2 linked regions of the Canis lupus familiaris genome follow. The protein of the gene in region 2 purifies or fractionates together with the protein of the main gene of each other region. This does not show direct contact. Links are inferred from orthologs where the notes say so. Each region holds a gene or a part of one and is shown on either strand. Other genes may lie near its edges. The genes, in order: ENDOD1 and SLC34A2.

Region 1 (6,514 bases), on a different chromosome or scaffold from region 2:
GGCCACTCTTCCACTTTGGGTGCAATTAAATTATTTTTCTGTGACATGTAGCTCACGGCACTCATATTTCTTGTCTACCTACCCACAGCAAATATTATTTCTCTCCATTATTCTCTCCTTGTTGCCTTTCTGGATCCCAGCTGTTTACAACCAAGTTTCAGATGGATGGTACCCTGTACCCCTAAGATCAGTATTTTATACTTGCCCCATTTCTACCTCACGGCAGCTCTTTAGAAAAATCCAGATGATTGCATCTCAGCTGTGGAAGGCAGAGCAAGGTTTGGAAGATTCTGCTTTCTCTTTCAGGAAAAGATTTAAAATGATAAGTGCTTTTTCAAAAAAATAGGGATTAGCTCTTAAATCAAACTTGCATTAACAGGAGAGTTGTTTTCTAACCTCAAACACGCTATAAAAATAATGTCCTAAGACACAGTGATTCTTAATCAAGTTTATGCCTACATAAACTTAGATATATATGGATATGGATTTTTTTTTTCTGAGATGGATAGAATAGTTTTTCTTTCGTGGTTCTTCTGTATATATTTAAACCAAAACAATCATTTAAGGTGGGGGTCAGAGTATTTTGCTGTAATGGGTACTTGTCTGATCCATAACAAAGGTGGATCTAGAATGTTGGAGAGTACAAATTTTCATGGTAGCCAACATGTCAGTCTTTGAGCTCATTCTTAGCCAGAGATTTAATATACATCAAGTTAATCTAAGCTTAGCTAAGGATGTTCTCAGACCTACAGCACCTATTCAAACAGGGCTCTGACCCTTGCACTCTCTTCTTTATACCCGAGAGGACCGTATTATACAGTTTTTTGCCCGTGCATTCAAACTTTGTTATGCCACATTTAACACATAATCCTTATCATTACCTAAAAGAAAAATGCAGCAAAATTCATCTTTGGAAGAAAAAAACCCCAAACAACATTACAGGTCCTTGGAAGCCATGGAAAGCTCAGGGATCTAGCAAATTCCTTATCCCTAAGAAAGTTATTTCAACAGGGAAACATGTCTGTACTTCACCAAGATCAGCTGAGTTGGAGAGAAAGAGAAGCAATGAAAACAAATCGACCAACAACATTTGTATAGGTTTTGCCTTAAGTTTCATAACAGAAACAAGATTTCTTTTCCATTTTCTTAGAAACTCTTTGGATTAAGGTTATACTCTTGCTAACTCTTCCCTTCTCTGTAATTCCTAGTTACCACAAATGAACACCAGAGTATCTCAGGAGGTCCATCCAGTAGCAGAGTGAATAAAGATTCTAATGATTTGGAAGTTTGCCTATATCCCACAGATGACCTACACATACATAATCTCACTCCCCACATCTATCTTTGGCCAAGTCCTAATTATACCATCTTCCTTTGCAAAAGCATGCAAATACCCCTACCAAAGGCCAAAATGTAATGGTAATTGACAGTGAACAGAAACCCATTGTAAAGACAAAGTATTCCAGCTTTCTCTTTAAAAAAAACAAAATCAAATTCACTGTAACTGGACACTACTAGCTTTTTTGGAGTTCTATAACTCCCCAGAATTGTCAAAGGTAACCCTGTAACCAATCTTCTTGCAGATACTAAAAATAACCTGAAATACACCACCCATAGTACCAAAAGCAGTGTCAAAGAGCAGAGAGATGGTGCCTCCAAGGCCCACTGCAATGTCCTTGCACACGATTGGAACTGCACCTATGGTGTGCATAGGGAAAGTGGCCACGTCCACAAGGACTCGGACTGGAATGCCCAGAATGCGGCAAACGGCCTTCAGCAGACAACAAAGGATCCGGAGCACGGCCCTGATGATTTTGACCATGACTTTGAGTACCTTCCAGGGAATGCTTGCCAACTCTTCCCCAATGGCCAAGAAGTAGGAGATGGTGGCTGAACCCAGGCGGTAAAGGCAATTCTCGATGCCGTTAATCACTTGCTTGGTAACAAACCACAGGAAATATATAATGTTCTTCAGGATGCCTACTGCAACGTAATAAAGTAACTGGAAAAGCCTGATGACCGGGGTAGTGATGAAGCCCATCAACCTACCCAAGAAGCTCCTCCTCTCCTCCGGTGCCTCCGGAGGCAGCAGAGCTGATCCTTCACTGGTCATGCTAGAGAGGGGACGAGTGTCCTCCTTGGATAGTACCGTCCGCTCCTCGTCCTGGACTTGGTTGACCACCTCCAGGATTTTCTTCATTCTCTCCGTGTCTTGCTCAGTTTCACCACAATTGTCCTGGAACAGCTGGGGGTTAGACGGAAGCAGTTTCTCAAGCTCCTTCACCATCACGTCTTCTATGATGTCACCATCCCGGGTGTGCTGGACAAAGCCCATGGCCCAGCCACCCCCGGGCATGGCACAACAGGCTGCCAGCCAGACAAACGCAGGGATGGTCACTCTGTCCTGAAGTATGCGATCTGAGGGCACGGCGCCTGCGATGAGGTACAGGTCTTCCCCATTGCCACACTGCGGGGTCAGGGCCCGCTCCATCAGGCTGCGGAGATTCGTGTACCACCGCTCCTGGAAGGACGGGCTCATCGGTACGGCATTCGTTAGAGCGAAGGTGGCCTCTCGGAAATCACTGCTAAGGGAGAATGGGTACAGCTGTCCCCTTTGGTAATCAGGGTCCACATAATCTGTACTCAGGGCCTGCTTGCTTCCCAGGCTGTTCACAGAGGAGATGGCATCAGCCTCATCAGTCAGCTCCCCGAGGGTGCTGGTGGGGTCGTCAATCTGAAAGAAGAGGGCAGGTATTGAGATGCATCCTGTTCACAGGGGAGAGGGTGCATATGAATCACCTGCACTTGGAGCCGTGGCTCTAGAGAAGTCCCCAGGGCACCCGCCCTCCCAGTGCCCGGGTTTGGAAGGGCTTGGTTCTCTGGGGTGCATACACTTCATTCTGCTATCCCACCACCCTGTGTTTGGAAGCAGCTTCCGAATAGGTTGTTTCCTAATTTACTGCCTGATAAGTAAAGAGATCTCTTTACTTAAGAGATAGGTGGTAACACACTCTCTCTCTCTCTCTCTTTCTCTCTCTCTCTCACACACACACACACACACACACACACACCCCGGGCATTACACGATGAAGTCACTCTATCATATCATTTATAAAACATGAAATCCCAGGGCTTTTTTTCTTTTGTAAGATTTTATTATTCATTCACGAGAGACACAGAGAGAGAGAGAGACAGGGTGAGAGAGAGAGAGAGGCAGAGACAGAGAGAGAGAGAGGCAGAGAGAGAGAGAGGCAGAGACACAGGCAGAAGGTAAAGCAGGTTCCATGCAGGGAGCCCGATGTGGGACTCGATCCCAGGACCCCAGGATCACAACCTGAGCTGAAGGTAGATGTTCAACCACTAAGCCCCCCAGGTGCCTCAAAATCCTAGGGTCTTATAATGGTTCAAGCCCTGACCTCTACTGACAGAAAAGCTCATTATGATTCATGCTTCCTGTCTCAAGACCAGTTTTTTAAACCTCTGACAAAACTTTCTTCTGATCCCCGGCTGACTAGTGTTTTAGTGTCATTTGCTATAGAATCATCTGAATAACTAAATAAGATCAGTAGAACAGCTCCCCGTCATCACCACGCTTACTTAGCTCTACAGAACAGCTGAATCTGTCTTGGAAGGCCTCAATTTCTGAAGGAATATCAGTGCGTATGTAACTAAAATACCTAACTCACCAATGGGAAACTGGACTAAAAAGAATATTTGGTTTAGAAAGTCTAACATAAGGGCACCTGGGTGGCTCAGTGGTCTAGTGTCTGCTTTGACTTGGGTCGTGATCCCAGGGTCCTGGGATCCAGTCCCGCATCAGGCTCCCTGCATGGAGCCTGCTTCTCCCTCTGCCTGTGTGTCTGCCTCTGTGTCTCTCATGAATAAATAAATAAAATCTTAAAAAAAAAAAAGAAAGTCTAACATATTCTTTGAGACAGTGTCACCTAAAGGGCAGATGTATTTTTCCATGCTCTCTGCAGACACAGTTTAATGATCTGGTTATTGCCATTATAGTAAATTACTGACAACACCACTCCCTGAGGACAAAAATATGCCTATGACATAAGAGGTAATTTCAGACTACACTTCTGGTTTACACTTGCCTTCTTGCATGCACCGCTAATCTCACTCTTTGGTTTCCCAGTGGAATCTCAGGATGGAGGGACAGGCACAAAGCTCTCTCTGTGGACTCCACATCCCTGCTGACCTTGTCCCACTGGGTTGCCCATGTCATTGGATACAGTTCCTGTGTTTCAAGGAAAGTTTTTTTTTTTTTCCTAATCACAACATGCTAAGTAGGTTTTAGAAAAATGAACTCTTCCCCTCCACAAGCATCCTGTCCCATAAATAATCTTGTAATGAATTCCTTTTCAAACTTAGTACCAAGAAAAAAATAGTCTCTCTCAATGAGTTGGTCTCTATACCAGACAATAAAAGCTATTTAAACCCATTGGGTTTCTTTTTGTTTTGGAATTAAATGAAAGGAGACTTTCAGTTTTCCTGCCAACATGCATGTAAGAAAAACAGATGGATAGAAAATTGCAAAAGAGGACCGGAGGGGAAATATTCATCCATTCAACAATATTTATTAAGCATATATTACATGTGACTGGTACCACAGAAGGACGCATTAGCACTGGGAACAACCATCACCACTACCACCATCAACATTTATTGAACACTATATGCCAGGTTCCATTCTATGAACTTTACATGTATTAAATCAGTAAGTGGTTATGCTAAGTCTTCACTCATTTAAACTTACCAAAAAAATGAGGTACTATGGTATTAGTCTCACCTTTTGACAGATGAAGAAACTGAGGCACATCAAGATTAAGAAGCCTACTCAAGGTCACACAGTGAGTGGTGGCATCACCACATGAACACAGAAAGTCCAGCCCCGTGGCTGGTGTCCTTACTGTTTTCTATGCCTCAAGACAGGCCTTCACATTAAGAAAGTCACCATCTATTTGGGGAAATGAGATACAAAGTTAAATAGGAAACCAAGAAAAAGACAACAGTGCCATGCAGGTTACCATAGATGCTAAATAAATGATATAAAGAGGGGCACCTGGGTGACTCAGTTGTTAAACATCTTGCCTTTGGCTTAGGTCATGGTCCCAGGGTCCTGGGATCAAGTCCTGCATAGGGCTCCCTGCAGGGAGCCTGCTTCTCCCTCTGCCTGCATCTCTGCCTCTCATGAATAAATAAAATCTTTTAAAAAATAAATGAAATAAAGAAAAAGAGCAAATGAATTTCAAAGGAAGGAAGGGCACAACGAATGCAGTCAGAGATGACTTCTTACTTCTTGGAGAAGACAGAGCTGAGGTGGGATTAGAAGGATGTGCATGACTTCGATGAACACAGAGAAACCGAAAGGTTAGTTAAGGCTTAACAAGACTTTGGCATCAAGGCATGGGGGTAGAGACCACACCAGCCTGTGAAAATAGAATTCTTTCTCTCTCCTTTTTTTTTTTTTTAAGGATTAATTAACTTATTTGAGGCATTGAGGGGCAGAGAGAGAGTCTCTAGCAGTCTTGAGCACAACCCTGAGATCAGGACTGAACTAAACTCAAGAGTTGGACACTCAGGGGATCCCTGGGTGGCGCAGCGGTTTGGCGCCTGCCTTTGGCCCAGGGCGCGATCCTGGAGACCCGGGATCGAATCCCACATCCAGCTCCCGGTGCATGGAGCCTGCTTCTCCCTCTGCCTATGTCTCTGCCTCTCTCTCTCTCTCTCTCTCTGTGACTATCATAAATAAATAAAAAAAATTAAAAAAAAAAAAAAAGAGTTGGACACTCAACCAAATGAGCCGCCCAGGCACCCCAAAAATAGGATTCTACGTAAGTAAAAGTGAAAAGCTGAATTGGAAAGGATAAGCAGGAAGCAGAGTATAAATGATCTGATGTACAGATAACTCATCTTGGGATAATTATTACTTCCACTTACTGAGCACTCGTGATGCACCAAGCACCACAGAAAATGGTCTATATATAAAGCATCCTTTTTAATCCTAATGGGATCCCCATCACCTCAGATACGGCAAAAATTGTAAAGCACGTTTGCAAATGACTACGATTCAGAAAGCACTGCCCTGCTGCATCCCATTTACTCTCCACATAACCCAATGGGAGAGGCACTGTCTCCATTTGACACACAGGAAAATGAAAACTCACATAAGCAATGGGTACAAGGTCACCCAATATCTAAGTGGCAGGGCCAAGGTTTATACCCAGATTCTCAGGCTCCAAAGCCCCAGCCCCCCGCCAGCAGCAGCCCTTGGATGAGGAAGGCAGCATGAGAGCCACAGGGTAGCCACACTGGAGGACACAAGAAGGACAAGACACAACTGGGAAACACAGATGGAGCCGTTGGACAATCAGTCATCTAGGGTCACATCAAAAGTCAGGGGAGGAGAAAGCTTTGGTGAGAGAGGATCGACAGTGTGGCACCCACCACAGAGAGGGAAGGTTAAGGATGACAATAAAGACCAAAACCTCTGAGGATTCGAGAA
Region 2 (6,514 bases):
GGGCCCTGCTCCCTCCCGCCGCGGGGTGGGGGGGTGCCCTACAAGGCCGTGCTGCCTGACATGACCTTGGAGTCCGGGTCGTCCACTGGAGGCTGAGGGGACCCCTCCTGGGCCTCCACGCTCAGGGCCACGTTGTCAAAGGCCTCGGGGCCCTTGCCAGGCGGCGCCCCCTCGTCGTCGTCTTGGCTGCGGCAGCACCCGCTGCAGCGGCAGCACGGGGGACAGCCACACAGCAGGCAGCAGGTGCGGCAGCACAGGCGGCAGCACAGGCAGCAGCGGTTCTGGCAGCAGCCGGCCAGCAGGGAGATGAGGTCGTCCCAGGGCTTGAGGGAGCGCAGCCACAGGGGCAGGAAGCCCCAGTCCCGCAGCTTCCGGGGCAGGATGCGAGGGCAGCGGGACTGCAGGACGCCCAGCAGCCCCAGCAGCAGAGCCACCGCGACCACGGGCGCACCCACGCCCACCAGCACCGGCCAGCCGGCCAGCGACAAGCCGAACACGGCCATCGGGGTCAGGAAGAAAACGAAGACGAGGTAGAAGACGGCGAACCAGCGGTATTCGGCCGAGAGCATGCCCAGGCCCTTGGCCAGGCGGATGGGCAGGCGGGTGAACGGGATGGGGTACCACAGCAGGATGCCCGAGATGTTGAAGAAGAAGTGGCACAGCGCAATCTGAAATGCAAGGGGGGTGGGGGTGAGCGGGTCTGGTGCCTGGTGAGGCCGGGGTGATGGCAGGGGCATCACAAGGCCTCTGGGGCAGCGCCAAGGGCCCGCTGGGCCTTCCCAGGAACTTGCTGTGTGTGCGTGGGTGCAGGTGGGTGCAGGTGGGTGCAGGTGGGTGCAGGTGGGTGCAGGTGGGTGCAGGTGGGTGCAGACGAGTGCAGGTGGGTGGATGTCCGATGGAGGTGACCAGATGAACCACAGCCCAGGCCCCCTGGAGTCCTCCAGGAGTTTGAAATTCACAATGATCAATCTCAAAACCCTAGAAACCTAGGGCTTGACCCAGCTGGTGGGGCCCAAGAAGAGGCTTGCTAGGTAGCTGGGGGTCCCCACGGCCCCATCCGAGGGAGTTCAGGGAGAGGGCTGCACTTGGTACAAATAATGGCAGCAGCAGCTCATCTTAGCACCCACTAGGCTGAGGCAGCTGTTGGAAGCACATGCAACGAGTACCTCAATCCTCCAAAAAATACCCTCAGAGCTGCCAGACCATCATTATCCTCGTTTGATGTTGGTGGTGGTCGAGCCAACTGAGGAAGAGGTGAGGCTCCTTCCCTGCACACGCAGGAGATGGCGGAGGTGGGATTCCAACCCCAGCAGCCTTGGCTCCAGAGGCCACGCACTTTGCCACTTCCTTGGGCCCACCAGGTGCCAGGCATCACACTACGGGCTTTGGACCAGCCTGTCTGGTCGCCAGCCACTGGCCACATGTGGCAACTGAGTGCTGGAGGTGTGACTGGCCTCAAGTGTGCTGCAAGCGCACGATGCACACCAGATTTCAAAGACTTCGTCCAAAAAAAAAAAAGGTGAGACATCTCGCCAATTTTTAAATCAATTACACGTTCAAATGATAATGAGTTAGATCAAATACATTATTAAGATTGATCGTGTTTTACTTTTTGAAAACATGGCTAGGAAAGATTTCAAATGACATGGGTGGCTCAAATTTCTATTCTACACTCGTATATCTATCAGAGAGCATGGCTTTAGGCTGAGTCTCATCAGATCCTTGGAATAATCCTAATGAGATAAGGCTCCCGGGTTGCAGAGAGAATTGATGCTCAAAGGTTAGGTTACCTGTCTAAGGTCGCTTAGTGTGTAAACCCAGGACGGAGTTCAAATGCCAAAGATCTTCTTGCCCAAGTAACCTGGTTGATCCGGGTAGGGCAGGGGACCTGCCCTGAATTTAGAATTCTAAATTCTACGCCCAGAGCACAAGTGACTGCCCAAAATCCAAATAGAGTTCCCCAAGTGGGGGGTGAGGAGATGGGAAGTGGTGTAGTGGCCGCCCCCCACCTCTGTTTAAAACAACCACCAGTGATGGTGGCCTCACAGTTTTGAAGATAGAGAAAACTTGGCTCTTGTTCCAAACCATCTGCTTGTAAGACCACAAATGGGGCTGTCCCCCCACCCCCCCGGGCTCCCACCCACGCAGCCTTTCCTAACCTGCAGGGAGCTCCTCAGAGTATTGCCTGGGCTGGCCAAGGCGGCCAGGATGGCGGTGGTGGTGGTGCCGATGTTGGAGCCCAGTGTGAGTGGATATGCTCTCTCGATGGTGATCACACCAATACCTGGCAGAAAAATACAAAAACTATAGTATCAGCCCCAAGGGATGATGGGAGGTGGTGACAGCCAACTAGACAGGGTAGCCAGAGAGAAACTCACCGATCAGTGGGGTCATAGCAGATGTGAACACGGAGCTGCTCTGCACAATGAAGGTCATGCCTGCCCCCACAAGGATGGCCAGGTAGCCAGTCACCCAGGCAAAGGGAAAGGGAAAGTCTAGGAGACAGAAAGGAAAGGAGATCTGTCACAGACTTTCTAAGGAAGGGCTGGGTTGGAGGCCTAGCTCGCCCCTCCAGAGGACCGGGGTGGGGAGGGGTGCAGTATGGGCTGGGCTAGAGGGTCAGGTTGTATAGAAGCCTCCCCACCCCACACAATAGTCATAAATTACAAATTGGATTTTTAGAATCCTTTCACCTTGCATGTTCAGATGGTGGAACCACGGACCAATACACGCATTCACTGAATTCGGAAGTAGAGATGCTGAACACACATGTCGCGGACTAAGCGTCTCCTCTCAATTCCCATGTTGAAATGCTAACCCCATGTGATTGTATTAGGAAGTAGAGCCTTTGTGAGGTAATTGGTTCATGAGGGTGGAATCCTCCTGACTGGCCTAGTGCCCTTACAGGAGAGAGACCTACTCATTCCATGTGAGGACACAGCAAGGAGGCGGCCATCTGTACATCAGCAAGTGGGACCTCAGAGCCTGACCGTGCTGGCACCCCAATGCCAGACTTCCCAGCCCCCAGGACTGTGACAAGTGTTGCCAGCCTCCGATAATTTGTTATAGAATCAGAACTAGGACACCACCCAATTAAGCACCTTCCTCCCACGGAGCACTCACGGTGCTCTCCCAATGCCGTAAATCCTCCACCTTTCTGAAGGGGCACGGAAGCAAAGGGCAGCAGCTTGGAAGTCCTACACGCTGAGTTCTCGGCAACACCCACACGGGATCAGGCCCTGCACACCCAGCAGGTCCCCACAGTCACCCAGCTCAGCCACATGACAACCTTGGGGACAGCCCTCAGAGGTAGATATTCCTGGCCCTGTTTCATGAAGGTTTCATGGGGAGGCGACATCCTTGGCTTGGCCAGGATGCCATAAGCATCAGGGGCTTCTCCTGGCCACTGGGGTTGTGTTGGCTGCCTCAAGATGGTGATGGGTTATCTAGAACCATGTTTTCTTCCCAAGAGTGGAAGGGAAGTGGGGAGCAGAGAGGGCATCCGTTACCCTTTCTCTAAGGGATTCTGACAGACCCGAAAGACCTGGGCATGGGGAAACCTGCCAGGAAGGAAGGAAGGCCTATCTCATAGATCTCTGGATATGAGCTGGCTCTTTCTCAGGACCTTTCAGATGTGATAGACACTGGTGCCCAGGCTCCACCCAAGACACAAAAAAAGATCTCAAGGGCAAAGGGCATCTTCTTCAGCTTATCAGATCCAAGAGAAAAACTCCACACAGAGGCCATTGCTAGATGAAAATCTAAAAGGAACCTCCCCACCGCCGGGGTGGCCCCAGTGATGCCATGCCCTAGAAAGCCCAGAATTGGGGTGAGGGTGTGCCTACCTGTGTTGATTGTCTTCTTGATGACCACAGCTACTTGTCCCCGGAGCACGGAGCCTAGGAGCTTGACGATTGTGATAAGGCAGCCACAGAGGACCAGCAGGGAGGCCAACAGCAGGATGATGCCAACCGCAAGGTCCGGAAGGGTGGAATTTGCAAAGATGTGCTGGCCTGAAAGGACCAGGGAAAGCCCTTGTTAGAGGCCAGTGGGGCTCTGAGGCCACCGATTGTTCTTCATTCCCCAGCATCATCCTTCTGCTTTACAGTAACAGAATCTGGGTTGTTGGCTCAACATATGGCACCCCAGAACAAAGACCACACTTCCCGGCCTGCTTTGCAGCTGACTGTAACCCTGAGGCCATGTTCTGGCCAATGGGACCTTAGGAGGCTAGAACATGAAGTAAAATCCTTCCAGTTACAGAGCTGGTCGGGGCCTTTTCTTCTACCTCTACGTCTCACGGTGTGTTTTACTCCTGAGAGCGACTGATACCTCGAAGAGCTTGAAGAGCCAAGTGGGGTAGGATGGGGAAGTCAGAGTAGGAGCTATTGCCAGTTGTAAGCCTCATTTTTTAAGAAGTCCTGTGTGGCCCTAGGATTCTAGGGTTTGACTGATGGGTGTATAGCATCTTGAACATGGGAGGTGATAAACTCATTGATGCTGTGAGGTGAGCCACACTTGGAATCTACTGCTCAGAATTAACATGGGCGGCGTGGAGAGGATGAAGGGAAGCAGAGACACACACATGGTTAGAAGAGTTAAGGATGTCTGGACCCATGATTCCCAGGGCAACAGTCCAGCTTCTTAAAGAATCGGAGCATCATGTAGGCTCACTGCCTTGTTCAGTGCTGTGGCTCCAGGGCTTGGAAGGGGGCCTCCCGTACAGCAGGGACTCATGACTTCGGGCTGAATGTATTTGTTCTGTTCTGTGTGGGCCTTACATCTCCTACAGGTCTGGTTGGTATCTCCCTAGAGCCCAAGGGATACACCAAAGCAGACAGAAGGAGCCCTCTGGAATCTGCAGATGAGCTCTAGTGCAGTATGGACCTGCCAGAGGGGTTGGGATTCAAATCCTGGTTCCACCCCTCCTGGTGGGACCCCAGACCTGGCTCGAAACCTTAGTTCCCGCTGCTGTGAAAGTGCACAGTTCATTACTTGGTATGATGTTGGTGCTCAATGAATCTCCGTGCCTTTCTTTCCTTCACTAACTGCATTTCACACTGGCCTTGGGGAGCCCCATTGCCCTCCTAACGAGGCTTTCCGTGGTCTTTTCAGGCCAGCACATCTTTGTGATAAAGGACAACGTCAGCACCCCCTCACCCCCACCCCGACAGCCCAGCCCAGTGGCTGGTGCTCTGCTGAGCTCCACTCACACTTGGCAATGTTCTCCGTATAGGTCACATTCTTGAGAGTCCAGGTGTAGGTACCGTCCGACCAACAGAGACTAGGGGAGGTGCAGTTCTCAGACGAAGGAACGGTGACATTCATTTGAGTCTGGAAGACAAACATCGACACATGGTATAGAGAGTCCACCATCTCCCTGTTGGTGGGGACTGCAGGCAGTGTGGCCAGCAGGGAGGAGACACATGTCAATGCATGTGTCTCTAAAATATGATGCACTGTTGCGACGGGTCCCTCCATTCATGGGAACACAGGGAGCCATAGATAAGCCAAGAGACATGAAAATATCAAGCCAGGAATAACATGTTTTCCAAGGTGCGGGTGGGGCAAGAGGGAATCTGTCCTACTGCATTATCTGTCCATCAAGCATTCAAAGACTTGCTTCCCTAAGGATTCCCAGGGCCAATTTTTACTTCCTCTGACCTCTTATCTGCCCACATTGAATTCAAGGTTTTGCTGAACCCACAGATCCAAGAGTCTGCCCACCCAGCCACATCCTTAGAAACTTACCACGTTGGTAAAAGTCTTGCACCAAATCTTGATCAGACTCTTGTTTTTGGCTGCTTCATCATTCATTGCAATTTCATTGATGACTTTCTTATCCAGCTGAGGAAGACAGACAGGAAAGGGTCAGCAGGTCTCAGCACTGATGTGGGACAGACACATAGGAGGTTCTATGGAAGGGGCTCCAACAACATAAGCCCAGTGGGTTCTGACTTGCTCCGTCTATGCTCCCAGGATGGAGCACTGCACCCAGACATTAGCAGGTGCTTGAGAAATAAGGGAATGGCTGTAGAAACAGTGGGCTGGTAGCTGGGAAACACACAGTAGAAGGTCATCAGGTGACAGCAAAGCCCAGACGGTAAGGGTGATAAAGGGCAAGGTCTAAGCTGACCCACTTTTCAAGGCAACAGCCACAAAACCTTTTAAGATTTATTTCAATAATAGTTCAATCAGCCTGGGGGGCAGGGGGGTATGAGCAGGATAATCCTTTATCAGTGAGCCCATGGGTGCCGAGGTCAGTAGGGGGAATAAAGTGGCCCCAAGCATCCAGAGTCCTGAGTCTTGAGAAGCACTTGCCACCCTCCACTCCGCTCCCACCCCAATAAAGATGACATGCAAAGTCAAGGAAATGAAGAAGGCTGGTTACTCTTCAAGGGCAGGTGCCCTTGAAGTCTTGGCTCCTCTGGCCTTTCTCAGAGGCAACCAGAGAGCAAGCAGTGTTTATAGGCCCTCATCCTTGTCCACCATCTCTCTCCGGTTGGGAGGAGTG

The links.
Region 1: the proteins of SLC34A2 (region 2) and ENDOD1 purify together in Homo sapiens (co-immunoprecipitation; 3 studies listed by BioGRID and IntAct, counting the BioPlex papers as one, with this or other methods). This does not show direct contact. The link is inferred for Canis lupus familiaris from reciprocal best matches to the Homo sapiens genes SLC34A2 and ENDOD1.

The regions. Positions count from the first base shown.
Region 1 is NC_049242.1:6,016,757-6,023,270, forward strand, and holds part of ENDOD1 (endonuclease domain-containing 1 protein), read right to left. Parts: intron 2,735-6,514; coding exon 1,532-2,734; 3' UTR 1-1,531. UniProt on the Homo sapiens protein: May act as a DNase and a RNase. Plays a role in the modulation of innate immune signaling through the cGAS-STING pathway by interacting with RNF26.
Region 2 is NC_049224.1:85,282,692-85,289,205, forward strand, and holds part of SLC34A2 (sodium-dependent phosphate transport protein 2B), read right to left. Parts: intron 5,848-6,514; coding exon 5,752-5,847; intron 5,335-5,751; coding exon 5,214-5,334; intron 4,014-5,213; coding exon 3,846-4,013; intron 2,496-3,845; coding exon 2,379-2,495; intron 2,285-2,378; coding exon 2,160-2,284; intron 669-2,159; coding exon 39-668; 3' UTR 1-38. UniProt on the Homo sapiens protein: Involved in actively transporting phosphate into cells via Na(+) cotransport.